Linked DNA regions of Neodiprion lecontei. The protein of the gene in region 1 purifies or fractionates together with the protein of each later gene. This does not show direct contact. Links are inferred from orthologs where the notes say so. Each region holds a gene or a part of one and is shown on either strand. Other genes may lie near its edges.

What was found.
Region 2: the proteins of cysteine-rich protein 2-binding protein (region 1) and protein will die slowly purify together in Drosophila melanogaster (affinity purification with mass spectrometry; 4 studies listed by BioGRID). This does not show direct contact. The link is inferred for Neodiprion lecontei from reciprocal best matches to the Drosophila melanogaster genes Atac2 and wds.
Region 3: the proteins of cysteine-rich protein 2-binding protein (region 1) and SAGA-associated factor 29 purify together in Drosophila melanogaster (affinity purification with mass spectrometry; 5 studies listed by BioGRID). This does not show direct contact. The link is inferred for Neodiprion lecontei from reciprocal best matches to the Drosophila melanogaster genes Atac2 and Sgf29.
Region 4: the proteins of cysteine-rich protein 2-binding protein (region 1) and protein Dr1 purify together in Drosophila melanogaster (affinity purification with mass spectrometry; 4 studies listed by BioGRID). This does not show direct contact. The link is inferred for Neodiprion lecontei from reciprocal best matches to the Drosophila melanogaster genes Atac2 and NC2beta.

Annotation. Positions count from the first base shown.
Region 1 is NC_060260.1:30,938,401-30,945,489, reverse strand, and holds cysteine-rich protein 2-binding protein, read left to right. Parts: upstream 1-2,384; coding exon 2,385-2,791; intron 2,792-2,944; coding exon 2,945-3,093; intron 3,094-3,234; coding exon 3,235-3,462; intron 3,463-3,597; coding exon 3,598-3,960; intron 3,961-4,102; coding exon 4,103-4,636; intron 4,637-4,751; coding exon 4,752-5,107; 3' UTR 5,108-5,363; downstream 5,364-7,089. Other genes in the region: SUMO-activating enzyme subunit 2, read right to left, coding at 360-427, 549-836, 1,007-1,161, 1,789-1,932; dnaJ protein homolog 1, read left to right, coding at 6,992-7,089.
Region 2 is NC_060262.1:28,248,658-28,258,123, reverse strand, and holds protein will die slowly, read left to right. Parts: upstream 1-2,784; 5' UTR 2,785-2,803; intron 2,804-2,836; exon of another isoform or gene 2,837-2,953; intron 2,954-3,000; exon of another isoform or gene 3,001-3,021; intron 3,022-3,513; exon of another isoform or gene 3,514-3,574; intron 3,575-3,595; exon of another isoform or gene 3,596-3,655; intron 3,656-3,883; exon of another isoform or gene 3,884-4,385; intron 4,386-4,396; exon of another isoform or gene 4,397-4,415; intron 4,416-4,482; exon of another isoform or gene 4,483-4,636; intron 4,637-4,827; 5' UTR 4,828-4,880; coding exon 4,881-4,973; intron 4,974-5,188; coding exon 5,189-5,285; intron 5,286-5,430; coding exon 5,431-5,594; intron 5,595-6,076; coding exon 6,077-6,166; intron 6,167-6,321; coding exon 6,322-6,461; intron 6,462-6,550; coding exon 6,551-6,782; intron 6,783-6,861; coding exon 6,862-6,949; intron 6,950-7,034; coding exon 7,035-7,135; 3' UTR 7,136-7,938; downstream 7,939-9,466. Other genes in the region: E3 ubiquitin-protein ligase UBR4, read right to left, coding at 8,833-8,897.
Region 3 is NC_060260.1:35,360,048-35,366,768, reverse strand, and holds SAGA-associated factor 29, read left to right. Parts: upstream 1-2,178; 5' UTR 2,179-2,326; coding exon 2,327-2,334; intron 2,335-2,608; coding exon 2,609-2,663; intron 2,664-2,763; coding exon 2,764-3,021; intron 3,022-3,368; coding exon 3,369-3,530; intron 3,531-3,597; coding exon 3,598-3,826; intron 3,827-3,914; coding exon 3,915-4,108; 3' UTR 4,109-4,877; downstream 4,878-6,721. Other genes in the region: skin secretory protein xP2-like, read right to left, coding at 112-242, 621-1,197, 1,703-1,745, 1,862-1,965. UniProt on the Drosophila melanogaster protein: Component of both the SAGA and CHAT histone acetyltransferase complexes, which both predominantly acetylate histone H3.
Region 4 is NC_060261.1:17,283,526-17,290,161, reverse strand, and holds protein Dr1, read left to right. Parts: upstream 1-3,229; 5' UTR 3,230-3,544; coding exon 3,545-3,546; intron 3,547-4,595; exon of another isoform or gene 4,596-4,735; coding exon 4,736-5,246; 3' UTR 5,247-5,533; downstream 5,534-6,636. Other genes in the region: N(4)-(Beta-N-acetylglucosaminyl)-L-asparaginase, read left to right, coding at 1-160, 1,210-1,441; protein SMG9, read right to left, coding at 5,681-5,759, 5,852-5,963, 6,091-6,211, 6,374-6,518, 6,606-6,636. UniProt on the Drosophila melanogaster protein: Bifunctional basic transcription factor. Activates transcription of DPE (Downstream Promoter Element) containing promoters while repressing transcription of promoters which contain TATA elements.

The DNA.
Region 1 (7,089 bases):
TGCAGATTAAGAGATCAGGGTGACCTGGGTCTATCACTCCATTAGCTACCAATGTATTCCTCATGAAAATCTGCGACTGAAACGTATTTTATTTCTCATACGAAATTTGTTGTTTGCATCTAATGGCTTAAAATAAGTCTCGTGGTTCCTCAATTGACCGTCATGCGCTTGGCAGCTGTCCTGAGCAATCAGATATTACTGGATTGGCCAATTTCAAACGGTTGTAATTCACACACGACAATTTTCGTATCAAAAGTGAAAAAACGTCTCGTCACACACTTCAACAAGGAACATATTGGTAGCCAATTGAGTCGTAGATCTGGGTTACTTTCAATATAAATCGTTGGTTAAATAACTACCAGCTGCTTCTGGGTCCGCCGTATCAGGTGAAACATCTTGATCTGGATCTTCCTCGCCGAAAAGTTGACTTGAAGATAGAAAGGGAAAATATAGTTATTGCAATTGACACATCAAAAATCACAAAGCAGAAGTCATTTCTCAATCTGAATTAAAATTGGGGCCAGATGATAAAAACATTAGACCCTTACTTGAATAAATGTTTTGCCCAGACGATACAATGGATTGGTTCACTAGGAGTGTTACGAATGGTGCAACCAGGATAAGTTTTCTGTGGAGCTTTTGTGGTGCATTCATAACACTGGCTCAATCCTTTTTTAATGAGTTCAACTTGACCTTCGTAACCAGCTGTTCCAGATTCAATCAAAGGTATATCAGAGGCTAGACACATGCGATTTACATGATTTCTTGCTGCTCTGTTGTCCAGAGCATTCATCACTAGATTAAACTTTTTGAAGAAGCTGACACCATAATCTGAACTGTAAATGAATATATCATTGCTTTATAAAAGAAGATACTCAGAATCCAGCATAAGTTTTGTTTAAATTTTGGATATACATCGAACATGAATTTGATTGAAGAATAGCCTATAATGGATGTCGAGGATGATCCACATAGAAATCTGTAAGAATTACTGGAAACTACTCACGTGGTAATACTATCATGATAATGAGTAATTTTTACATCTGGGTTGAACTTTAATGCTGTTTCCCGGGCAACTGCAGCTTTTGATTTGCCAACATGTTGCTTATGGAAGAGAAACTGCCTGTTCAAGTTACTCACATCAATAGTATCCAAATCAATCTGAAAAAGGGGATTTAATTTCAATTTTCAGGATAGTAGTATAAAATTCTTAAATAACTTTGGGATCAAACATCATAGTTGAAGAAACAGAACATCGGCTGATGTAACACTTTGCATCTTCAAATTCCCCTCGTAAAATGTTTTAGCATTAAAGTACTTGAGTGTAGAGCATTTGATTATACAAATCATTAGAATATAATTTGTTTGCTGAAATATTATTGTTATTTTCTGACATTCGATACAGACAATACCTTTAAAAATATCTTCTCGCTTTAATCCAAATTTATCAAACAGCTAAAACGACCCATTGAAGTAATGTTGATTACGACTTTCCATGACAAAATTATATTCTTCGTGACTTAGCAATGAAATTTAATTACCACAGTGTGAGAACATGCTCTGTTAGTTTATTAATGCTACAGTACTAGCTATTTCATTGAGTTATAACATATGATAAAAAAAATAGAAAATAAATCTAGATACAAAGCTTGAACAGTCATTTGAAAAAAAAATAATTAAGATTTGGAGCATACAGGTTTACAAGAAACAGTTTGTTGCTTTGAAGTACGGAGAGGTTAGGGCTCCTCAGATAAAATGCGCATAAATTCCAGTATTGTTCAGACTTACTATTTCGATATCAGTGAATCCCGTCATCACGAGATTTTTAAGTACCTCGCATCCAATTCCACCAGCACCCACAACCAAAACTTTACTCCGTAGCACAGCATTTTGTAGATCAGTGTCCAACACGCCGCTAATACTTGCCGCCATTTTTGACTCGTGTAAAATCTGTTACTGGCCTGGATTTTCATGGGTAACAAAATGTTGAGTCTGTACCTACACCAGAGAGAAACCTCCTACACACTGGTTCAGATGTCGCAACCCTGCATCCAAAGCCAGTGCTCGAGTACTTTTCACGTTAATTATTTCTTGATTGATTGAATATTTGTTGCGGTCATGTTCGTTATGATCAGTTTCCAATATTACCTAATTATTTTTTATAATGACAATCAAATAGGTATTTAAATCTCGACGATCTAGACGAAAACACCGGCTGTATAACGAGCTAAACAAGAAGAGTCATTCAATTCGATTATGGTCAATATTCTTTCAGCTATACAAGAATATCGCTTATAGTCTTAAAATAAAAGTTGCTTTACATCATGATAATACCCATGTGTAGAGATGCACAGTTGAAAGCTTAGTTCCATAGTCGCATAACGATGGCGGAATCAATTGAGGAAGAGGTTAAGCTGAAGATTGAATCAGACCTGCCGGAGTTAACAAGATGTAAAAACTGTCAAGAGTTATGTGATCCGTACACTAAGCCTGCACTACATTGCTCAGGAGTTTGTAATGAGCATGTGCATGTCCAGTGCTTGAAGCGTGGTGGAGTACCTGGACCATGTATAGGCGACGTATTCTTTCAATATACTTGTTCCGACTGTAGTTCATCGAGGGAGGAAATTCTCACTAGGGATAAAATGTCGTGGTTGAATATCATTGTACTAACTCTGTACAATTTACGGGAGAAATCAAATGGGATAAGTAAGAGGGGATATTTTCATTGGAAGTCCGACATTAGTACATTTGTCGATCGCAACTGGGACTATCTGTTCAAGAAGTCTGTGTAAGTTGATTTTTTGCTATATGAAAAATTAGAATAAAACTAAATATAATCTATGTGCCATAAATGTAAAAAATGTTTTTACATAATTTATTAAATATTTTGAATATCTTGCTACAGAGTGTTAATCTTGCCTACTGTGACTATTCTTTTTAGGAAACGAAAAAAAAACTGGATAGGAACAATATCTGGTACACTATCTCACTATAGCGGCGTCTTTTTTAAATCAGGAACTACAGAACTCAACGAGTCGGGCTGGTGGAGGCTTATAGATACTGATCCTCCTCAGGTACTCATTGCTAAGAGTAAGTAACTGACAGTTATAAGAAATTCAAAGTCTTTCAAATGAGATCCTTGAAATTTTCTCTCAAAGAGGAATTCCAACAGATGCATAAACGTGTATTAAATTATGGGTATCCTTGTTTCTCTCATTGATATTTTCGTAGATGGGAAACTTGTGCTGGAACGTAAAAAGCAAATGGGTACTCTGTCCAAAGTAGTGGCAAAACAACGAATCAGTCCATCACCTTCTGAATCAAGCATTTCTGTCGGCGAAGATAGTAATTATGGCGGTGAATCATCGAGAAGTCAAGGACTGTCCATGTACTCGCGAGCTTACGTTCAACCCAGTGAAACATTATCAGATTTTCTACTAGCTGAAGACGACGTACATGGTATGCTCTAATGAATACTTCAGTTTGTTTGTTTCCTGAATTTGCACTAGATATTGGAGAATGCAACAAAATCTCATGGAACAACAAAAAGTCCTGGCATGGTATGTTATATATTATGTCAATTATGCTTTATAGATATGGATGTGCTGGACATAGACGATGGAATTGAGTTGAATGTTCGCCGTGAACCACCTTCCTTGACTGATTTAATGAGAGACTTTCAGTACCAGAGCTATCAACCGTATCAATCCTGCAATAACCAGCTTACACTTATGGACAACTTTACAACTGACTGGGAAATGAACGTTATTTCGTCTGCAACAATTCTAAGCAACCATAACGATGTTAAAGATGATGCAAATGATGATACCAAAGAAGAGGAACCATATGAAGAGGATAGTAGTGACAGTCTGAGCTCTCTCCAAGAACAACCAACGATATCTCTCTTTAATGTTTCAGAGAAACGAGACTGGCCCTGGAGGTACAAGAACATTGCTGGTACGTCATTTGAATCAACATATTTATTTTTTAAATTCTTACATTCGTATTCAAATAGTAAAAAACAAGTGGACCTAGTTTCGAGATGTATAAGCATAATATTTATTCTAAAAAATGTTGTTTAATGAAGATACTTCTTTAGCAGGTAATGTTGAAAAAAAAATTCGGATGAGTGAACAAGAAGAATCATATATTTTACAAAAAGTGGATAAGCGACACTTGGATTCAGCACCACCTGCTGTCAGGCGCTTATACAGAAAACTTGCAGTTCGAAAACTCAAGAGGGAACATGGTTTACCTGTATTTGATTTAGACTCTTTCGGTTGCAAATCAGACTTCTTACAACGAAATCGTAAAAGAAATAACCGTGTATTGGACAGATTTGTTAATGAAGGTTTAGGGGGTGCTTACGAAAAAAGACTACAAGGTTACAATGAACCAACAGCTGTTCATAGCCCATATACAAACAGAATCTTGAAACCTTTTATAAGAAGAGACACATCTTGTCGACCTCAGTGGCTCAAATTAATGGAAGAGCTCCAGGTTAAGGTCAATAAAAAGAATCCAGAATGGAAATTCTCCAAAGAAGCACCAATAGATTATTCTTATGTCAGACCACAGCACATTCCAGCAATAAATAGCTTGTGTAGCCAATTTTTCTGGCCTGGAATTGACTGTAAGTGTATATTCAATTAGTTAATGAATCACAAATGTATTCAATATACCACCATGCCTGCAGAATGAAACGATTATATAAATAACACGAAATCAAACAACCATGCTTGTTTCAGTAACGGAGTGCCTGCAGTATCCAGATTTCAGTTGTGTTGTGCTTTATAAGAAATTGGTCATTGGATTTGCAGTCTTGGTCCCAGATGTGGGATACAACGAGGCATATATTTCGTTTTTCGTAACTCGACCAGAATGGCGTCGAGTTGGTATCGGTACATTCATGTTATATCATTTGATTCAAACGTGCATGGGTAAAGATGTTACTCTACATGTATCTGTAACAAATCCTGCCTTAATACTGTATCAAAAATTCGGATTCAAAGTTGAAGAATTTATTCAAGATTTTTATGATAAATACATTCCACCAAATTCTCGAGATTGTCGACATGCTCTTTTTTTACGGCTAAGTCGATGAAATTTGACAACTCGTAAAAAAATTCTGATGCAGGTAGGGAAGTATGTACGTATGTTATTTGACATCAGCATATCACAACAATAGTCACCGTATCAATATATTGTTGGCAATTGAACTAGCAAAGCTTCAATTGTATAACTTCATACTGCATTTGAGACTACACTATTTATAATATGTTATATTGCCTTTGTCGAGATATTATGTAAATTTTGGATTAATAACTGAATTACGTTTATTCTACACACAACTAATAAAATCATTGTTAAAAATATTCTGTCTTTATCCAGCAAGTACCTGTATAATAAGTGTAGTACAAACTTGAAGGTAGATTTCGAGTATATTCTCATTCATGTAATCAACATATTTGTCATAATAAAGTTGCATGAAAGATCCATAATTAGGTGATAAGTTACTGGCGTCATGGATAATTTCTTCTTTTGACGTTATAGGTTATGTTCACCGTCAGTCACCTGTCAATCTTAATATGCCAAAATTTTAGTTGCCAAGTAAAATAATTTGAAAAATTTAACCAGGAAATATTTCAATAAATTAACATAACTGCTGTGAAATGTGTAGAACATAAATTACTAGTGTCTAATTCCTATCAACGAACGACGTTGTGACGTACGGAAGTTGATGGAAGGTTCGCTGACTAGCTCCGAGGCATTTCTCGAAAGTTCCGGAAAGTACTAGACGAACGTTTGTATATATGGGCTGCGCAACCTACGCCATACTTTAGTGCATCACAAGACGTGAAACGTACGCTACGAGAGTAACGTTTAATACGTGTTGGAGTTTATTAAGCAGTTTAGTGATCAAGTGTATTTGGATATATAACAGACCCACGACAACTAGTATAAAATAATCCCCAAAGTGAGTAGTTCAAATGAGTATATTGTCTGCGTAGGATTTTAAATCAGAATCTGAAATTGAAAATAGCTCCGCATTTATCTCCATCATGTAGATATACGCGACGCGAAATTTAGAAGTCTGCGATGATCGTGCATATACGAGAATGGCAATGGGAGTGATTCTCAATCCACTTCGATCGTTGAGTTTATTTTTGAGTTGTTTGGAATTGCTACACTGTTCGATGCTATAGGTTTCATCATATCCAGAAATAGACCGTCTAATACGTGGGTGTGTAGGGCCCGCTGTCCCCTCTGTGGCCTGTATGTAGTGTATCGTCTGTAGCAAAGCACATCGAATGACCGTGTAAACTGTTTTTAAAAATATCTGTTAATTCAACGTACCGTTATCACCATACGTTTCATGTAAAAGTTACGCACTGTAGTCAGTAGTTCCAAAGTTTGAAAACGTACCGAATTTTTAATTTGTTGCCTTTTTTAATCTTCGCCCTCCGTATTAATAACTCTCATCTTTGGCTACAGCTGCTACAAATTCTTATTGAGAAAATAGCCTTGATTGTACGAAGTTTTGGTACCAACGTCGTAAATCCAAGGTCGTAATTTCATTCAATTGAACATTTCACTTTCTGCAAGTTTTAACTCTTTATAAGGATCTGAAGACACTATGACATTGGACTAGTAACGTTCAAATCAACTCGATAATATTTATACTTCTATTTTCATTCTTCATCACTGGTTAGATCTTTCGCATATCGGATCCTATTTGCAATTAATTTATTTTGACGTGTGTTGTTTTCGTTTTCGTAACAGTCCTACTGTTTTATTGATTGGGTATTTACTCTTGGTTGGAGTGTCACTCGCCACTTGTGATTATGACATGGATCATTAGAGATCATTACACTAAGAATTCGAGATTGGAGTTTTTTTCCACTATTTTACTGTAGGTTTAAATTCAATTTATTTCAAATTCACATGGTTAATTTACATTGATTAATTTGTTGCAGGATCATAAGCAATGGGAAAAGACTACTATAAGATGCTAGGGATTGCCCGGGGAGCAAGCGACGATGAAATTAAGAAAGCATACCGTAAATTGGCTTTGAAATATCACCC
Region 2 (9,466 bases), on another chromosome or scaffold:
CCCGGTACTCGAAATACGTAGCGGACCCGAAGCGCGGGATCCGAGAGGTTGAGAACCCGGTACTCGAAATTTGCGGAGCGCGACTCTCATCCGTCCGCTCTACTGCGCGGTTGTTTCCAGACTGAGGAATTCGGCTAGCTGATTTTGAGTTGGTGACGTAACTTTCTGAACATCCGACATCCAAACTTTGGTTTCGACCTTTAATACTATGTATGATGATGTATGATGTACGATGTATGATGTACGATGTATGATGTATGATGTATGATGATATGATATGATGTATAATGATTTTAGCTTTCACATTTCATACAAGAAATACGCACTTTATCTCTCCTGCCGATTCCAGACTCAAGCGGCCAGGCCCTTCGATGGTCAGCCGTTGACTGAAGATATATTCTTCAGTGAACGGGTCGGCTAATAACGCTGCCGTTCTGCGACAGTTGGATGATGAAAAATTTCGCTCGTATCTTTCAAATGTGTGTTAAAATACACTCGAAGTGTTAAGAAGCGTCGTTCTTTCTCTCCCTATCACCTTTCTAGGTCTTTAAATCACTACGCAGCGTTAAATACTGTCTCATATACGAAGCATCCATTTCATCTCGTTCAGAATTAGCGCATCCGTTATGTATTGCAGTTACTCTGAATTTTTTTCCATCCGAATACTTTTCGAAAAACAATTCCGCTCCTCCACCCAACGCAGATGCTTCACTTGCGACCAGCTAAAACAGCGTTTCGATTCTATGCCTATGAAAATTCAAGATCGAGAGAGCAAATGAAAAGTTGTTGGAATAATTATGAATACTGATGTTATGGAATACATCGAGCGCGCGTCGAATAGAATCCCATTTCGAAATGAATAATTCTTCTCTTTTCATATCATAGCTAATCTAGTAATAGGTATAGGTAAATAGGATGGTTGGAGGTGTTCGGAAATGGTAGGAGGTGGTCGGCGCTGGCAGAAGGTGATAGGGGGTGGTCGAAAGTGGCCATTGACGGTCGGAGGTGGCAGGGGGAGGTAGGAGGTGTTCGAAAATGGTAGGACATTTCAAAAGTTAAAGTCGACGATGATCCGGTGCATCAATTTTATCGTTACAGATTTTCTTTTCCCATGAGGCATAGAGTATTCAACAACGATAATGCAGTCCTTAAAATTCATCATTCATCTCTGTCTGGAAAGCTAATTCGCAAGGCGTGGTATTCTATTCTATTTGCATTATTAGAAAAATACCCGTACTCTACATACACTGTTTCTAATCTTTTGCTACATTTGGTTTAATCCCCATGCTTCCACAGCACGAATAGTCGGAAATGTTTTTGATTATCCATAATAAAATAAAAGAAGTAACAAAGCTTAAATTTATTGTCAAAGCTCTAATGAATACATCAAACTGCGGTCGAATCAATTCATTTATTATTTGCACATGACCTCTGTATATTTGATAAATTATTCCTAAATACATTGAAACATATGTATTTATAATGAAATATCGTGCAATGGGCTGTGTAAAGTATAAACTATAATTTCTATCGAATAGCTGCTTTTATGTCAACAGGGCTTTGAGACTCAGTCAAGTTGGATCTCGGTTTTTGCCATTGTATGTAGGACATTGGGTTACAAGAACAAATGCGAATTACGAAGAACTCTGTATTAGAGATAAGGATATTTTAGTTCAAGTATACCTATACAGAGAAATCCGTATGTGAATATACTAAAAACTCTGTGTTTATTGTAAAAGTCTAGTTTTAAGTATAAGTATATATTTACATATATACACATACATGTACATAAATAATTGCCAAGAAATTAGAAACACTCACAACTTGTCGCAAATAGAGTAAAACGTAAAGTTAATAATATACAAATTACCCAAGCGCACCATAAAACGTGGCAAGGGTAATCCTAGTGCAGTGATTGTATAAACTGAAGAAATATACATTTACATATACATGATATAAATTAATAGTCTAGAAAAGAGTATTTAGAGAGCTTATCTAATTCCGATCTTGTCGCAATAGATCATTAACATAATCAATATACGGTTAAAGCTGTATTAGCTACAGTCACTATTAGAGATAATATTTTTTATCCATTTTTATAGTTATTTAATTTCTTGTACAACAATTTTTCAAATTTCACCGCAAAATGCCCAACGAGTTCTCGTAGTGCAAACACGAGTCAAATTACCTTACAGATGGCATTACATTGATTTTTGCCTTCTCGCGTCGAGTTATAAATACAGATAAATCACAATGAGAGCTCATTTCTATAAGATTTATTGTAGTGCTATATTCGTAGCTGTACGTGTTATTCTATATTATATACTGTCCTTAATTTTAAACATACGGCACAACAATGGCTGAAAGCACAGTGACAAGAAGAGAAGAGCAATTTGCATCTTAATAAATCTTTTCTTCTTTATACGTAGCACAGCGATGTCACGTCGGAGGATATGTACTAGTGGATCACTAGGTGGGGCACAGAACTAAAACATAATTGTGTTGAAAATCTTTAACATCTCTTACAGAAAGTTGGTACGTTGCCAGACCTTATATACCAACAATGAATATTCATGGAGGCTATATTCATAAATACTTACAAAAGTAAGCTAATATTAATAATAATAATACTCAGCTATTAAAGTTTCGCTGAGCGCTCCGACCAAGGATTCCATTTCACCGAGAAGCTCTGTTAATTGGCCAGTTGACAGCTGACGCAGTTCTGAAATCAATTGTCAACATGAAATTCCAACTTCAATCAAGACCGTGCAAACATAGATGTTTTGATACAAATGAAGACAAGGTGATATTAGTATACAAGTTAAGAATTCTTGACCTTATTACTTTCTTCGTAGAATGGTGATCCTAGAACCTCCTTACTTCTTTCCAAAGTTTCATCCACATCCAGTAGAGATCCTTCGGAGTCAGCAGACCGTTCCATTGACGGACTTTCCTGCAATCCGGAAGATTACAAATTAGTTATATCTTGCAATTACAACGTTGAAGAAAAATGATTAAGATGTAAGCGCCAGTTAAGAAAGTTCCTGATTAAAATTACTCTGAGTAAATAATATGATTTAAAAAGAGCAGAAAGAGGCGGCAGGGTGTGGTAGGAGGTGGACGGAGATGGTTGGCGGTGTTTGGTGGGGGCAGGAGGGGGTAGGAAGTGTTTGGCGGTGGTTGGAAGTGAGCGGCGGTGGTCGGGGAAGTCGAGAACGACGAAGACAACGAGGCGGCGGAGGAAGAAGAGGACGGGGACGAGGTGGACGAAGAGGACGAAGGTGGTCGGAGGTGGGAGGAGGTGGTTGACTACTTCTGATACTAATTCTTCTCCTGATCCTACACCTACTCTTGATCCTTCTCCTATTCGTACTTCTACTGCTACTCCTACTCCTACTCCTGATCCCACTTCTCATCCTACTCCTACTCCTACTACCACTCCTGATCCTACTCCTGATCCTACTCCTGACCCTGATCCTACTTCATCAAATATTATAAAAATGTTGAACTCACCGAGCACAAATCCTTGTCTTCCTTGTCCACCTTGTTCTCCTAGTCTTCCTCGTCCTCCTCCTCGTCCACCTCCGACCACCTCCAACCACCGCCAACCACCTCCAACGACCACCGCCAACCACCTCGGGTTATACCCCGAGTACTAATAAATATTTTTAGTATTAGAACACATCAAAAATATTGTGTAAGGATTAATATAATTTCTTTATTGACACATTTTACCAGGAAGATTATGAGAAAATTATAAAAAATTGTGGAAAGTTTATTAGCGCATTGAAAGCTACTGAACTTGGGCTTGCGCGAAAAGTGAATTGAAATAATTTATAGTAAACATGACAAGTGCAAAAACTTTGAGACAAAATATAATTACAATTGCCATCAAATGTTTGGAGGCGGTAGGTGTTTTGAGGTGGTTGGTGGTGATCAGAGGTGGTTGATGAGGACGCGGACGACAAGGGGACGAGGTGGCCGAGGAGGACGAAGGTGGTCGGAGGTGGTTCGAGGTGCTCAGAGGTAGTTGGGGGTTGTTGGCGGTGGACGCGGGTACGCTCTTCTCACGGGGATGATCGAGCTGATCCACATTTCGAAGTCGCAGTTGACAAGTAGTCATACGTACTGACTCTCTACCCGCTCATCTCAAGCTTTCATACCGACACTATTTTTGCTGCTACGAATGATTGTGCGAGCTCGTTAGGTAGAGTGGATCGAGCAGAACCCTCTCACGCTCCCAGGCCCACCAGGGCCCACTTGCCGCCGAAAACTGATCACAAAAATTTGCGCAGCGGTATCCGTCTTTATGTTTTTCAATGAACGCCAGTTATCAATTCGTAGACGAACGGTGCTGCTACACGCGGTTCGAATCGACGTCGAATCTGAGAACAAGGTTAAACAGTGGAATGGCGGTTAGTGTTTTAATCACACGTTGCGGATTTGTTTGCGTTTTTATTGCAGATTTTGTAGAATTTTCACCGTAAGCTCCTAAATTATTGTGATAAAATCCTGGTTGACGAGATATTGGAATCAGCTTGGTAAATTTTTCCGTGTTCTCTAACCCTACCACAGTAGTCGGCGAAAATAACGCGCGCGTGGTGGCATTCGGCAGTGTAGATACAGGAAATGAAAGGTTTGCGTCGTTCCGACTTCTGTCATTGTGACCGTATTTTTTTGTTTACCACAGTACAATTAACTCGATGATACTCCTTGTATATAATAGAATAAATATTATCCACTGTCCCGCCTGCTACTAGAACTATGAAGATCCAAAACGTTAACTACCGGTTCTTCGCTCTTCATAACCTCAATTTACCTTCACAGATTGGCTGTGAACCTTAAGAAATATTTAGTTCAAATTTGAGCCAGTCCTTAACATGGTTCCCCTCGGTCCGTCTCCTAGCCATCAGCAATCTGTTAACAATTCAGCCAGTACACCAACCAGTGGCACTAAGGGCAGTTCAGCTTTGGTAAGTCATTCATACTTTACTCTGCACATGCAGATTTTAGATTCTTCTTGGTGTTGAAAAATTGAGCAACTCCTTCTCACAAAAAAGTGCAAACTGAATAGGACTCTATGTTTGATTAATTGGCTGTTGAATTTTAGCAATTTCGCAACAAATTATAAGTAGGCCGAAATGATAGTATGGCAGCTCTTAGTAATCGTAAATTATGAATTTTCCAGAAGCCAAATTATACATTGAAGTATACGCTTGCTGGACACACCAAAGCTGTATCTTCTGTCAAGTTTAGTCCGAATGGTGAATGGCTAGCCAGTTCATGTAAGTATGTTTGGGAACTGGTTCGAGATATTTTCTCCTTCAATAACATGACGTACATTCTGTTATTTTGAAAAGTACTGATGCTTTTGTAGAATATCTACTACGCTGGTGAAATGTCAATAATGCGAATTTTTCTATTCATTAGCGGCTGACAAGCTTATAAAAATATGGGGATCCTATGATGGCAAATTCGAGAAAACAATATCGGGTCATAAGTTGGGAATTTCGGATGTGGCATGGTCAAGCGATAGCAGATTGTTAGTTTCAGCTTCGGATGACAAAACCCTGAAAATATGGGAGTTGAGCTCTGTGAGTTTTCCACTATGTTATACTGTGGAGGAATTAACACACCTCCATGTAATTCTAATTATAAAAATCTAGCAACCCAAAGCTTTGATTGGCAAAACTGGAAATTATACCCTTCTTTTCAAAGTCTTAACTGGTTCAGTAGAATTTGTAACCCTTAATTAAACTAGTGAACTACAGCATACTCTAATTATAGTCTAACATCACTTCGGCAAAACTGGGTTCAAAGTTTTGAGTGTATACTTACTACAATTTGTGGCATCTCTATTCAACCTGCCATTTCATGTATATTGTGATTGATTTACTATATTTGAATTTTTCTATATGCATAAGGTTTTTTCAACAGATTTTGAAAGTTGCAAGTTCTTTTGGTCTTCCTCAACTAGGTACTTTAAACTTCCATTCATTTGCCCATCGAAGCTCTTAAAATTCAACTTCACCTAGAATGTGATACAGAAATCATGCATCGATTGATATATTTTCAGGGAAAGTGTCTGAAGACTCTAAAGGGACACAGCAATTACGTATTTTGCTGTAATTTCAATCCTCAATCGAATCTAATTGTATCTGGCTCTGTGAGTAAAACACATTTGACATTAACAATAATTTTACACTATTAAGTGTTTAGGTTATTGTCTTAAGTATGCATTGTACAAATATGACAAAAGTTATTATTCAATACAGATAAATTCTTGTAACACATCAATTAATGCAATTTACTATGTTGCAGTTTGATGAAAGTGTGAGAATATGGGATGTGCGAACTGGAAAATGTTTAAAAACATTACCAGCTCATTCTGATCCTGTCAGTGCAGTGCATTTTAATAGAGATGGCTCATTGATTGTCTCAAGCAGTTACGACGGTCTTTGGTAAGAAATAATCTGAAGAAAACGAGAGATAAACAGATGAAATTCAAGTTCAATTTTACCATTTTCGATTTTGTTTTTGGCAATTTTAGTCGAATTTGGGATACAGCTTCTGGTCAGTGTTTGAAAACGTTAATAGACGACGACAATCCACCTGTATCTTTTGTGAAATTTTCGCCAAATGGAAAATACATATTAGCTGCTACATTGGATAACACATTAAAACTGTGGGACTATAGCAAAGGAAAATGCTTAAAAACTTACACTGGTCATCGAAATGAAAAGTATTGCATATTTGCAAATTTCTCAGTCACTGGTGGCAAGGTAAATTTCATAAGTTCGACGTTTTGCATATTACCTAGCTGTTCTTGAATCTAATCTTTAATGTATTTTTTCTGTACAGTGGATTGTATCAGGCTCAGAAGACAGAATGGTTTATATCTGGAACCTACAAACGAAAGAAATCGTTCAAAAATTGCAAGGACACACAGGTAAATCAGATGCATGACTTTGTAGTCCATTAAAAGCCATCTAATAAAAAAAATATTCATGATCAAATATTATACTATATTTCAGATGTTGTTTTGTGTACGACTTGCCATCCTACGGACAACATTATTGCATCTGCAGCATTAGAAGATGATAAAACAATAAAATTATGGAAAAGTGACACATAAATCGAATCTTTACTAATTCAAATAGATAGATTCTTTGTACAAATTACTTAATATCTGTTTCCTATAAAACGTGACTAAAGGAACTATAAAATGAAGAAAATAGAATGGTGATTTTATTTTCGTAAATGTGAAGAACTGACATTTGTGAGATATCAGCGCTTGATTATTGTATGCAGAAATATGACGCGGTATTTTTTGAGGTACAGAGTTTTGGATGATGCACAGTCCAGCTATGTAATTCGGATATGAATCCCGGCATGTCTGTAATCTCTTTGACATTCAAAGAATAATGGAATCGAAAACTGTTGCCACGCATGTAAATCTGTTAACATTTTACAGATTCACTTACTTTTAACGATGTAAATACAGACTTTATAGTGCGTTCATTTATTCATAAATATAAAGTGACATCCAGTTATATCTTTGATCTGCAAATGTAGAAAAAAACAAACGATGAAAAGAACAAATTTTTCAAGTGCGCAGACTAATATAGTGGAAGTATTCAACAGTAACGGCCCTTTGAAATACAATAAACACGTGCATATTTTTCGATTGTTAATGGTGGTCAATTTACTACATAAGGAACGTAAACTTGTCATATCTTATTACCTAGTAAGATCCAAAAATTGATTCTTTCCAACTTTGGCAAAGCGTGAAGCCGTGGCCAGTTCTCATGAGTATTTCATATTTAAGCATCCTACTGCTTTGTTTCAGCCATTCGTACGTGTGAAAAAAAAAAAAAATAGAATAAAAGGGCCTGTAGTTGATGATGGTTTGGAACATCTTTCTATATATTTTGGGATCTTTCTGACTACGCAATTGTTTATGTATCATCGTTTACTATGACTTATTTCACAATTAATTATTATTCGGTAATAAATAAGATCATTTATAATTATTATTTAAATTCTATATTTACGTTTGTAACTACAGATAGTATAGTTTTGTATGGTTCCAGATATGAGAAAATAAATAAATATAACATTGATGCATAAATCTGCAGAGATTGCTATAATTATTACTTGAAATCTAAAATTCAAATTAAGAAAAACAAGTGTGCAAAATAATCATAGCGTATATACAGTCATAGTAACTCACATAAGGTTCTTAAAAGTTTTGAATGAAAACAGTTTTAAATAGTTTGTTCATTTAAAAATTTTTTTTTCATTACTTTCAATTAGTTATCGCGAAGAATATTAAGAATTAAATTTCATTTTAATTTTTATGAAGTTAAATTTTTATTTTTATCAACTATCGGAAAGAGCATCAGAAATTTTGAAGTATACTTGAAACTTGATATGCGGCTTCTAGAAATAGTTGAAAGTTACATTGGTGTACACCAAAAGTAATTGTTTTAAAAACTTTTGATCAGAGTAAACTGAACACATATTACACGCAAATGCTTTATTACATCGAATTTTCCGAAAGCACAAATCTTTATTTTTATATCTATGCATAAATAACATTGCAATATAGAGTTAGGTACACATTATTTAAACACATCAAATAGTAACTTATTATGTAACAAACTAAAATGAAACATTTCATAGTGATAAACAAACAAGTTAGGTATTTCCTTTTCTGCAGAGACTGGTTATCTATAGTTCGTGTGTATATCTATAATTAAAAAGGTTAATCTACTTACAGAAAACTTAAATCGGTCAAAAAAGCGAAAAGTGGTGGTATGTTTGCGAAACTTAGGCTAAACTCCGCAATAAATCTGCCATATACGTCATAGGATCAGAAATCTCTCCAAGCAAACCTGTAATTAAAAAACATTAGGCATTTTGCAGAAGCCCATCTTGAAGTCAAATATATTTTTGCTTTCCCTATCATATTATTATCAAGCATCATTTTTCATACTTGGTCATATGCATCAAGTTTATTTCACCATGTAGTAAATAGCAATATACCACCTCATGTGTTAGTAATCACTACTCATGTAGTGACGTGATATGGTTACTCAAGATGAGAATTTCTGTATAGTTTAGTAAAAATATTTAGTTGCACTCATCTCGTCAGATTTAGACTTTACAGTGCTCAAGCCACGTAATTTTAGGGGAAAGCTTTATGAAAATAGGGTGTGTGTATATGTGTGTGGTTATTAGGGTTCCAATATTTTTTCATAGTACTGACCAAATCAAGCAAAATAACATACATACTAGGGTGTCCATTATTTTGGTCATTTTGGAATTTTTTCGATAATACCCCAAAAATATGTTTATATTACAGAAAAATAAAATCCCCTGTGAATATGAAAATTTTCGGATAATAGCATCAATTTGATTTTTACAGTCCATTTTAGTTTACGAAAAAAAAGGAATCAACTGG
Region 3 (6,721 bases), about 4.4 Mb from region 1:
AAAATGGCGAAGTTATTAGCTGGCCATTGAAGCGTCGCGCCGCTCGGGCTCGCTCGGGATCGGATGCCTACTGTAACTGGTTTTTGTGCTCGTGCGCTCGCTTCCTCGTTGTCAGTGTTTTACCAGATAACATAGTTGTAGGGGAGACTGGGGCACGATGACTGCCCAAAAAATTCTGGTATTCGCTTTACAGTATACAGAATGAACACTGTCTTTGCGCATGTGACACAAGCCGAATCTGCCTGTAAGATTATTTCTATATAATGCCACAAATCACGTTTACAGATGAATGTAAGTACAAAGTATTGTGATTTTGAGACAATAAATTTCGTCAAAAAATACCACAGAACAATCAGCTAAGTGTTGACAGATTTGAAACACTACGCACAGCAATGTTAGCTCCAATTGAACGACGTTATTGTTATGTATTTCTATGTATACAATGCCAACCACTCATTAATTGCAATTTGTTGATCCTGGTTGTTCGGTTTTTTTACCGATTCAAAATGTTATCTGAAGCATGTATTTTGGGTTGATAGCACAAAATATGACGTTTTCAATAATCAAACTTGTAAACTTGAATATTAGTTCGGAATGTCAAAAGTCATCAGGTCACGGACCTGGAGAGCCAGAACTACGGCATTCTAGTCCTGGAAGTCGAGTTTCAACACGTGGCGGACCTGGAGCGCAGAAACTACGGAGCGCTGATCTCGGAAGTTGAATTTCACTAGGTAGTGGGCCTGAAGCGCAGGAACTACGGAGTGCTGATCTCGGAAGTTGAATTTCACTAGGTAGCGGACCTGGAGCGCAGAAACTACGGAGCGCTGGTCCCGGAAGTCGAGTTTCAACACGTAGCGGACCTGGAGCCCAGAAACTACGCAGCACTTGACCTGGAAGTCGAGTTTCACCAGGTAGCGGGCCTGGAGCGCAGAAACTACGGAGCGCTGATCTCGGAAGTTGAATTTCACTAGGTAGTGGGCCTGAAGCGCAGGAACTACGGAGTGCTGATCTCGGAAGTTGAATTTCACTAGGTAGCGGACCTGGAGCGCAGAAACTACGGAGCGCTGGTCCCGGAAGTCGAGTTTCAACACGTAGCGGACCTGGAGCCCAGAAACTACGCAGCACTTGACCTGGAAGTCGAGTTTCACCAGGTAGCGGACCCGGAGTGCAGGAACCACGGAAGTAGAGTACCCGGTACTCGAAATTTGCGGAGCGCGACTCTCATGCGTCCGCTCTACTGCGCGGTTATTTCCAGACTGAGGAATTCGGCCAGCTGATTTTCGGCTATATAGATCGATGACGTCGAGAGAAAAAAAATTTTGAGTGACGTCACTTTCTGAACATCCGAAGATCCGAACATCCAAACTTTGGTTTTAAACTTTAATACTATGTATGATGTATGATGTATGATGATATGATGTATGATGTATAATGATTTTAGTTTTCACATGTCAGAAAGAAATACGCACTTTATCTTTCCTGCCGATTCAAGACTCAAGCGGCTGAGCCCTTCGATGGTCTGCCGTTGACTAAATATATATTTTCCAGTTAACGTCAGCTAATAATGCTGCCGTTCTGAGACAGTTGGATGATAAAAATTTTTACTGAAAACTAGTTACAAAAATTTACCCAGAGGTATCCGTCTTTATTTTCTTCAGTTAATGGTTCCAAGAAGAACTGAATTAAAATCTAATCACATTACCGCTCGGTGAAGAGGATTAGTTGCTAAATTCTCGTTTCCATACCTATGAGGCCATAAGAATTCTTATAATAAACTGCACTAAATTGTCGTCATTCGAATAAACTGCATAAAATAAACGTAAAACTCGTCCGCGAAGATCATTTTCAATTTTGAATTTACCTCCAAACTGCTTTCTGTATGACCGGCTGACAATTAGGTAGTCGTGATGATAAATTTTGTTCGGTAATTTTAACATACGCCTCAGCCGGCAATGCTGCTTTCATCATTCAGTTTGGTTTTCATTTACCAATCGTCTCACAATTCATAATATTCACGCGCCACAACAGCGCTGAGTTAAAGTTGTGAATATCTCTTCATGGATATATAATTATTAGTGTACTGGAATTATAGCATAATTTTCAAGTTATGACTCAGTCGGAGAGAAATAATATTTTCATAAAGATCTGCGCCAAGTAACTTCAGCTCATGTACGTGTGTTTATAGTATAGAAGATATGCTATTCCTAATCTATGCAATTATTCATTTACGTCGATCATGATTCAGGCGAAGCAGTCACTGATTGCTCCAAACAAACTGACACATAGCTACATGTGACGTGATAAAAATCACTTCCAGTTGCTCTTAATGCTAAGGTTGACTTTAACTATTCTAACCTCTAAATATAGTTTGTCATATTTATGTAAACAAAACAAAGAGTACATAGCGACTTCACAGCATTGAATAGCTTTTGGTTCAAGCAAGAAGAAAAACTCCACCAGACCTACCGTTTCATACAGAATCCTTGTTTTTTCAGTTTCAAAGTGTTTTGTTTTCACTTTCTTAAACCATCTACATCTAGGTTATCTATCTAGGTTATTTTAAAATCAAAAGGTAATTTAACACTGAACTTCTCAAATACCATTTCAGGAGCTCTCCTTCGAAGATGCCGTTCACAGCTGATGCAGCGGCACATCAAATACAGGTACCAGCAGCATATTCAAAAATCAAACTCATCATCAAAATAATTTCAAATCAGTTTTGTCAAATGTTTCATATCATATGAATAACAATGGATGTTGCAGGAACGGCTCAAGAACATATACAATTTAATATTTGAGATAGAAGAAGAACGCAATCGATCTGAACATAATTTAAATAATATCACCAAGGCTCATGACAAAATAACACCAGATGATAAAGTCTCTCCTTACTATCAACAGAAATTAAAAAGTTTATATAGCGCTGCTGTCTCTGATGCTCAACAAGAAGAGGAGCTGATACGAAAAGCGCTGGCAAAAATTAACGAAATTAGGGCAATTCGAAATGAGCGTAGAATTCAAGTATGTCAATGTGAAAGGAACGGATTATTAAATTCAGAAAACCAGGGATTGTCCAAAAATCCAAGGGGAAATATAAAATTCAGATAGAATATTGCCATAATCATAGATAAAGTCCTTCCAATTATGTGTAACAATTTTGCATTCTTTTGAACAACTGAGGCACCAAATTATTCAGATTCTAATTCACCATAATGTCATTGCAGACAAAAATATACTCTCTAGATACTTTGTACATACCTATGTGAAACACTTGGAAAACAGCTGCTTGCTAGCGATATATTATTCATGCAGTTTACCAATTTTTCAATTGCTGGAAAAGTATGACTAAAACCTTTGTTCTTATACAGGCGCGTAACGCAGGAAACAAGGAAACGATACGACGAGGTGCATTGATGAAAATGTTGTTGAGCTCTGCACAAACTCTACCACTATATGTGGGTAAGTCACCTGGAGCAAAACCACCGCCACTATGTGGCGCAATTCCAGCTGAAGTTACGTACATAGCAAAGGTACGAAGGTAATAGTTTGTAAAATATTTCAATTTACGCCATATGAGATATTGATGATATTTTTGAGATGGGAGATATGGTTGCCGCGCTGGTAAAAGGATCCGAAGAGGAGGAGAATTGGATTCTTGCTGAAGTCGTTCAATTTAATCCAACGACGAGTAAATATGAAGTTGATGACATAGATGAGGAACAAAAAGATAGGCATGTTCTTTCAAAGCGTCGTGTTGTCCCTTTGCCTCTGATGCGAGCAAACCCGGAGACCGACGCCCATGCATTATTTCCCAAAGGATCTATAGGTATGATTATATGCTTGTGGTATAACTCACTACGGTTATAACAGTTGTATTCCCAGCTCTATAATGCAGTATCATTTTGCTTTTAAAGTTATGGCGCTCTATCCCCAAACGACATGCTTCTACAAGGCTGTTGTTAATCAGCTACCGACTACCGCAACTGAAGAGTACGAAGTACTATTCGAAGATGCAACATATGCGGACGGATACTCCCCACCTTTAAATGTTGCGCAACGTTACGTGATATCCATAAAGGAGAGTAAGAAAAATAAAAGTCAGTCTTGAAGAGAAGCAGAGTTATTATTTATAATCCGTAACGAATCGTAATGACACCGGAAATTTCTAAGCAATAATGCAGATATACGTCTAATTGAGATGCTGTACAATTCAAATCATGCAATCATCTCACTGCCATCAAATTTTTTTTTCGTTACAAGAAGAAATTACGTAGCTAAATGAACAAAAATTGATGCTTTAGTTATTAGATATTTGTAATATCATCAAACTGTATATAATCAATAAACAGGAGAAATTTTATGTGCCAGGATGTATATGCATTTTATACAGATTGCGCACATATACATTCTTTGCTTTTCATTCCAAAATACTATCAAAGTTATTATTTCAGTTACTCAAAATTACGCATAAGGATTCTTTATTTGTCCATTCAATCATTTTACATTTATTTTTTAACATATTTTTTCCTCTTATCTATTTTCTTTTCTTATTTTTCTTTCCTAGTGAGAAATAAAAATTGTTCATGAATACGTGTTATGTCGCTGAATCGAAGGTGATGCTGCACCGCACCTGCAAAATACTTAGCGACATGGGAGTAATGTGGGTTTAATTAGACTTTCGGTCTCTAATACGAACACCAGAACTTTTTAGTGCTCAAAACGCACTTGGAAGTACATTATGTATAAATATCGGTAATAGCGATCAATCCTCATCTTACAAAGTAGTATTCAACGCTTTTTTTTAAACTTTAAATCAAATTAAAAATCTATCCTTAAAACGTTCCTACTTAATCAAAGTTGCAATGACATGAAACTGTGTTGCTTTTGAAAAACTATATGTTCAACTAAAAAGAACTTTAAAGCAACTTCTTTCGCCAAATGCATACAAAACTGGTCAATGAACTGATTAACTCGTTATTAGTTATAAACTATGAGATATAATTCTATTCATTCAGATTGTAGTTCAATGAATTTGTTTTTCATTTTTATTTTATCTGCTTGTTTCATTTAGGCTTCAGTGCGTGAATTACCATATGGATATCTTGTTTTTTTTTTTTTTTTTTTTTTTTTCAAAAAAACTTATGATTCCCAGCACACTCTCATTTTTAGGTATAATATATGAAAAAGGTGTCACCGACGTGGGCGTTCACTGTATACATAAAACAATACCTGAATAATTATGTGCCTGACAATTATTTAATATTTGGAATTATGATGAAGTTAATGACAGATATTTTATTTCATGAGTGACATGAGTTCGTATTTTATATTTTTACAAATCGCTGTAAGACAAATGATCTGGACCAATAGATAGTACTTGTACGTTAAACTGTTTCAGAAAAAATGAAAGAAAAAAAAAATAACTAAATAATCGAAGACAAGGATAAACTTGAAAATTTTGATAAATCACTTGTGCATTCAGCTATAAATGGCAAAATGACAGCTTATCTGGATCGATAATTATGATACCGACTAAAGGAAAAAACTGATCATTTGAAAATCATTCGAACTTACTAAGGTGTGAGAATGGGGGGAAAAAAAAAAAAAAAAAAAAAAAACCGGAATGGAAAGAAATAAGTATTCAATGTAATATGTTTACATGAAGAACTGATTGTTACAATATAATTCTTATTGATCCAGCTCTTATTGCTGTTTTAATCAGTTTTCGCTGTCACGTTATAGTTATACGATGAACACTTATTTTGTAATAAAAAATATATGGTGCCTAAAGTACAGAGATAATAAATTACAACACTAGATCGATACATCAATAATCATTCCGTATGAAATGAATTTTTTCACCGTTTATCATCGACATGGTTAAACGACAGAATATATTTTGAACGAGAAACCTTCTTCCTCTTCGAGTCAATGTCAAATATATAAAAATTGAATATTTACTCGCAGCTACCTAAAACCTTCAAGATCAGGAAGACCTACTATAAGTTGTCGCTGTAGGGTGATTGAAAACTTATGCTAAAAAATAAATTGCTGCAATTATTAGCAAATCAATTGAACTACAATTGCGAATGATTGACGATCTGGTATTAAAGAATCAGTGGTTCTTTTTTTTATATTTTTTTTCCTTTGTTGTCGTTTTTTCATCTTTACTTTTTTTTTGTGATTCGATAAAATTAAGAAATAGGAATAATTGTGCCCGCTTTGTCCAATCTTTTTTTTTCTTTTGACATGTGGCTTTTTTTCTCTCTCTTTTTTTTCCATCGTTTGAGTTTTTTTTCTGTGGACATATCATAAATATGAAGAGACATGAATTTTCTTATTACAACGAAGATTAACTTGCAGTTTTGGGAATGAATTTTCACAATGGGTACATCCTTGACAGAATGTATAAGATAACAATATAATGCAACACAGCACAGTTTACTCAAATGGGAGAGATTTGCATAAATCATCATGCTAACGGAATTCAGTCAATTAAGATCACAACATGCATAAAATTTCACATGATATTTCAACAGTGATATTCAACAATATACTGTGCTTTGTTGTGCAATTATATTTGACTAAGATTATTGTTCACTATTGAAGATCGATAGGACGCTAAGAGCCATATTCTATGTTGTAGTAGCTGCATCTATTTTTGCTAACCGTAATATTCCAATAATGGAAAAATAATATTTCATTTCTGAACAACACGATT
Region 4 (6,636 bases), on another chromosome or scaffold:
GAAACATTGCTGCTGGTACATCTACAAATGGAGCGAAAAACAAGATTCCTGGGCGCATTGGAGACTCTCCGATTCCAGGGGCTGGTTCTTATGCTGACCAAGAAGTTGGGGCTGCCGCTGGAACAGGAGACGGAGATGTTATGATGCGCTTTCTTCCCAGGTTGGGGACATATATACCTTAAAAGAAAATAATATTCAAAAGGCTCTTGTCACGAAATGGAATATTTGATTAACTCAGTTTTGATATAACAGCTGAGAGTATTTTATAATAGAATTTCTGAAAATTAGAGATTCACGTAATTATATCTCGCGGAGCTGAAGTCAAAGAAAGAAAAAATCGTCCTCGTAGTGTACCTTACTGAAAATGTCCGTGTCTTAAATCATATAATGTTGTGACCGAAATCGACGTGTAATTAATACATGATCTACAGTTGCCTATATGATTTTTGATCTAGTATAGCTGATAATTCGCGTTTTTGTGATTCGTTTTTTACTAGATAAATCATGTAATAAATTAAATGTTGATTTCGGTCATAACATCTTATGGTTTATCACATAAACATTTTCGGCAGGTTACCCATTACGTCATATATCTTAACCTTCGGAAATTTAGTGAGAATATTCTATAATCACGCGACTTTGGTGCAAACCAATGACATCTACAAATATGAACGGAATTATATACTTTAGAGTGAAGTATACTTTTTTTTTCTCAAAATTATTCCAAACCCTGCAAAAAACAACTTAGAAGTTATAGGTTGAAAAATTAAATTGTTTGGATATTGTTCGTTTTCTATGAAATCGCATGATTGTTAAATACTCCCAAGACATTTCAGAAGTTGTTGATGCATGGATGCAGTGGGTATGCTATAACAACCACTTTTTTTCCTTTTGGTCTTAATGAATGTTACTGTAAAGTATCAGTAATCTGTTATAATAAAGGTGGGTGTGAATTGATCAAATCAAAACATTTTATTTTGACACAATAGCTCTTTTCTATATTACTTTTTCAGAGGTGTATATGTCCCTTTGAGAAACGTAGACATGTGTTCTGCAGATGATTCGTGTAATATTATTGTTATTGATCAGACGAGAATTCAATACAAGCATTGCTTGTCTTGATGCAATTCATTATATTGATTGATTACTTTATTTAATCATGATAGTTTTAATCTGCGCCTTGGTTTATGAATAACTTCCGTTTTTCAGCTTCCTAGCAGTGGAAGAAATGCGCCGCGGAGCGGCTCCAAGCCATGCTGCTGAGACAGCAGTTCGTCGCATAGCTCAGCATTATCCAAAATTCGTTGGTGGAGTTATTGCTCTTAATAAGGATGGCGCGTACGGAGCCGCCTGCAATGGGATGGAAAAATTTCCATTTTACGCGAGTAATCCTCTTCTCGGTGAACCCACTTTGAATCACGTTCGATGTATTGAGATCTGATTCACTCATGCTCCATGCCTATATTAGCCTTGCAATACTGCTTTTTCTACGGACAAAAAGAAAAATATTGCGATGCATGCAAATAATAGAATGTCACTGAATTCGAATCTTTTGCGATAAATTACTGATTTTCTAATATTCAAAGTGTTTCTATGCAAAGGTTTTTAATATAATTTTCCTAATAACAAGTACTGTAAGAATTTGATAATAATAAAGTTGGTGAACAAATGGCAACTTTTTGTTTCTTGATAAGTATAATGAAATGAGCGAAGGTAGAACAACCGGATTTTACTTGTGAGACGGAAACTAAGGCTCAATCGGAGCTAATTTATCAGCACAATTACCAGAAAGTTGTCATGAACTAAAAAATGCAAAAAAAAGGTAACTGTTTTGATTTTTGCAAAAATTGTGACTGATTCTAGTCAATACTAGACCTACTTATTGTATGTATACGTGTATGTATCTCAATTCTCAGGACATCAGATGCTGTAGTTGCAGGCAAAAAATGTAGTCGTATTTATTTTTATCTTTTAACGATCGGGCTAACGATTTCTCGACCACCCCATGCCTGAATTTTATATTTTTTGCGCACCTTAATTGTATCACCATCACTGATCTCTATGTAGACTGGATAGTGGACTCTTTCTCGTGCTTTCTACGTGCTACAGAGTGGAACCATCAGAAGGCATGTAAGCTGCGGGGGGAGGGGGGGGGGGGGGGGGTCAGAGGAAAGGGCAAGCTTGGGGTTTTTGATTAACCAATAAACGCGATTTTTTTTAAAAAGGCCTGTATTTCGGGTTAAAAAATGCCGATAAATAGAATTCCAATAAGAAAAAGGATATTGGCTACGGACGATGGAAATATAATTTCTGACTTTTGAGCTTTATTTATGTATCTCTTTAGCATTAATAGAATTCATTTATTTTAGTAATATATAGGTAGTAAATTTATTAGTATCAGTGATCAAACACATTATAAAACCTTGGAAAGTAAAAAATAAATCGGCACAATAAAATTCGTTACTTACAAATAGGCGACTTGAAACATTAGTAACAATTTGAAGCAAGCGCAAAAGTGAACCTGTGATTAGTTCGCTTGTGACTTGAACTTTTCCCACCGTACAAGTACTTCACCATTTTTATTAATTCACTAACTTTTTTCTTAGTATTAGGCACTAGGCTTTACCGTTTACCGCACTTTTGTTTTATTTTACCGTCGCCATCGAACAATATTCGCGTGAAGCTGGTTAGTTTTAGGTTTGAATTACCCGCTTCGAAACGGACCCGTCAAAATTGCAAATGGCGCTGATCAATTGGGTCCACTGAGGGCACCCAAGCCCCATATAACGCAGCGTGACTGTCTTGAAGCCTGTGTTTCTCAATTTGTGCACCAAAGATCGGAGCGCTGCAATCTCCGAGGCCGGTGTATGCGTACTAAGTAGGCCTCTCCCTCACTAGCGCTAGCGGCGAAAATTCACAACATCGGCTTCATTTTCGAGCACGGTTTTACAACCGGAGTGCCCAGACCTGTTATAAGGCCGTGATATGGTATAAAGACTTATAACCCTGGGTTTTTTTTCGTAACAGTTTGCAGGGTCTGGCCGGGTTTGGGGGTATTAGCAGTTTCGCGTATTACGAACCAAGTAGCTGACCACGTCGGCAAAAGGTGTTCTTCATAACCAATAACTATCGCGGGCAAAACGTTAGAAACGTGCCGTTGTCATCGTGAAACTGAAAATAGTTCTAATCTACCTCAGAATCTTTTAACAGTTTTGAATTAACCTCTTGTGTGATGCCAACTAGCGGAACGTTTCCATTGGTTTGTCCGAAAAGCTGCGCTGTAGCATGCGCTGTAGGACACCTGACTCCTTACACAAACTGTGGTTGTTTGGCGTTTAAAAATCCGAATTGCTTAATTGGTTTCATTTACAATCTCAGAACATAATCCGAATCCAATTGATATAAACTTTACACCGTACTTAATAACTTGCGAAAACTAATGATGGCGCTGTATTTTTATTTATGATGTCCCAGGATGTATTATCGGTGAATTTGTGTTGAGCAACCGTGGTATGATAACCTCCAGATCTACGTAACTAGTCATATGTGCGTGTTTCATAAATAAAGTATCCCATGCTAAATCATCAATAACGTTCCACATTCACTTAATTAGTGGTTTTTTTTTTTCACCAAACAAGAAAATATATTCGCTTAACTACTGACATATTATTACATCGGAATGTTATTTTTTTCATCGTGATATGAAGGGAATTCATTTGAACAGATTAAATAAGCTTTCGATTTTTATAATGACCACCTCTCGAAATTCGTTGATTACTTTTTGCGTTTTATTCGAGCAGTTACGTTTCATTTCATTTTTAACATTCAAGCACTTACATTTGATGTGTTTTTTTTCTACTTTCTCCTTCACTACCAGCAATGACTGTAATCGTTGAAACGTTGTAACAGCTTGCAGATGATATTTTGGGTAAAAATTTATTGAAGGTTAAATGCTGGTCATTCATTTATTGGTTCAATTTATTGTAAAACAAATTTGTTGCTTTTGTTATTTATTCGCCTGGTATGCTTAAACAACAAAGATTAGAGAGAAATAATTACAACAAAAGTGAGAGGCAACTTGATTTGTTAGCAATATATTTAGACATTTCTTACATTTCTTTTCCTGTTCATAGTTCTACAAACCATAGAGTTCCTTTAACTGACGAGCTGCAAATCTAATTTCATTTGCAATAGTTCAATCGATCATTTACTTGTTACTTCCGCATTCATTTTACTCAGAAACTACAAATTAAAAAAAGTGTACAAGTTTGATTTTTATTGATTCTTGATTGTTCGATTAATTCAGTCGACTGTCCGCATCTGATGTATTGTTTCATTGTGTCGAAATGATGTGAACTCTACTCCTGTTCAGTGAAGAAGAATATTTATCACCACTATCCTGTAGCATCATAACAATTCTTGTAATCTAGTTGACAAAGTAATGTGGCCAAAAGATTTTAATCCCACTTGTTACCTAAAGGTTTAGCTGTTATCGACTTTGTATATTTGCAATGTAAGCAGTGCCGTCAAATGAATACATATTATTTACATCTAAAATGACTCTTATTTTAGATTACAAGACGAGAAACGATACATTTCTGAAAACATTTCTTTATTGTCGGTGTTCATCTCACTTGTCGAATAAAGGTATATTGTTTCTTGGCACACACTTTCAAAGCATTTCTTTAATAGGTTTGCTAAAGTTATTGAACGTTGTTTGATCCTCGATTTTCAGGGTTCCAATGGCCTCGGCAACAGTGACTCCAGCTGAAGACGATGAGCTAACTTTACCTCGAGCGTCGATAAATAAAATGATAAAAGAAATCCTACCCCATATACGAGTAGCAAACGAGTCGAGGGAGTTAATATTGAACTGCTGTACTGAGTTCATACATTTATTATCCTCTGAAGCGAACGATATCTGCAATCAACAGCAGAAGAAAACAATTAATGCTGAGCATATATTACAAGCATTGGAAAAGTTGGGGTTTGGAGATTATAGCGCCGAAGCTGAAGCTGTATTGCGAGATTGTAAGGCTGTGGCAGCGAAGCGAAGACGCCAAAGTACAAGGCTCGAAAATCTTGGAATTCCAGAAGAGGAACTTCTTCGACAACAACAGGAGCTCTTCGCAAAAGCACGCGAGGAACAAGCCGTTGCTGAACAACAGCAGTGGCAACAGTTGCAAGCCGTTGCCCAAATGGCTTCTATGCAACAGCCGGATAGTGAGCAGGAAGATTACTCCTAAATTATTACCATTAAAATAGACAATGCAAGTCTAATGAGTAAATTGATTGGTTCCTCTACTTATGAATCGATTTTTCCAATAAAAGTGAACAGCGTAAATGAGAAATTCACTTCTTATTGTCTTAACGGTTTATCTTTGATGATTTATCTATGTAAATTGCATAAAAAAAAAAAGAGAAGAAATGAAGAAGAAAATAATTTCGAGTATCCTAGAATACGTTACCACCATTATTTATGAATAAATGTGAATGATGTGATAGAATAAAGAAGTGAACCTAATTATACCTATTTTCTTTGGATAATTTAATCGAACCACACCTTTGAAGTGTTTTTTTTTTTTGTAAACGTTTCTATTGAATATTTATGAAATTTAAAATTTTTTGTTCCTACCTTTGTGAAAGATTACATTCATTCCACTTTGCCAAATTGTTGTTTTCACGGCATTAATCTCCCATATTCAGAAAACAAATGACTTTTCTTTATCGTATCCATAATTTTGGAAGCATAATGGTACCTGTAATTAGTAAATAAAGATATGAGATCAATGTCTATTCTTCACCTTCAGTGTCTGCTATATAACTCGGAGTATCTCAAATTAGTACTAACCAATTTTTTTCAGTCAATACAGTTGAAGTCATGTTGTTACGTGATATACCATGTATTCTCATACGCAATTTTTCTGATATTTTTTCTGCACTATCATGAACGATTGTCTCATCTGAAACAATTCATTAAGTAAAATCACTTCGCCGATTCAAAGTTATTGAAGTCAGGAAACTGTGTACAACACTCATACAAAATGTAGATACGAGTCGTTTCTGCTTTCATCTGAATTGGATTTTTACCTTCGTTTGTAATTTCTGGTATAACGAATAAATTTAGTTGTCCATCAACGACGGATGAAGCCATATTTAATCCACTGTGTGTCAGCAGTCTAGAGTTTATAAATACTTTGTTATAAAAGTCCTGGAAATTGAGAACTAAGGTTTATTATGTGTGAGAAATGTTTTTGGAAATGATATTTTTCTGATAAGATATAATCCTCTAGTTCCTGGAAATACAAGCTCTAATTTGAGAGGTTTTATCTAAAAAAAAATCCGTTACTACTTGTTACTAAATCTATCTTACTTTCATCATGTTCATAGAATCAGGCATGAAATCCTGTAACTCAGCTTTATTGTGCAGAAAGAGGATGTGTGGATAATATTCGACAAAGTCTTGATCCATAGCAGACGCCGAAGAAGGTTTCAGCATTTCGGCAGTTTGAATGAATCTGAAGTATAGCGAACAAAGCAAACCAGTAAAATAAAGTACTTAATTAATTTGGATCAGATAAATTCAGCTGTTAGAAAGTAGATACCTGATTAAATTGGGATCTACAAACCAGTCCT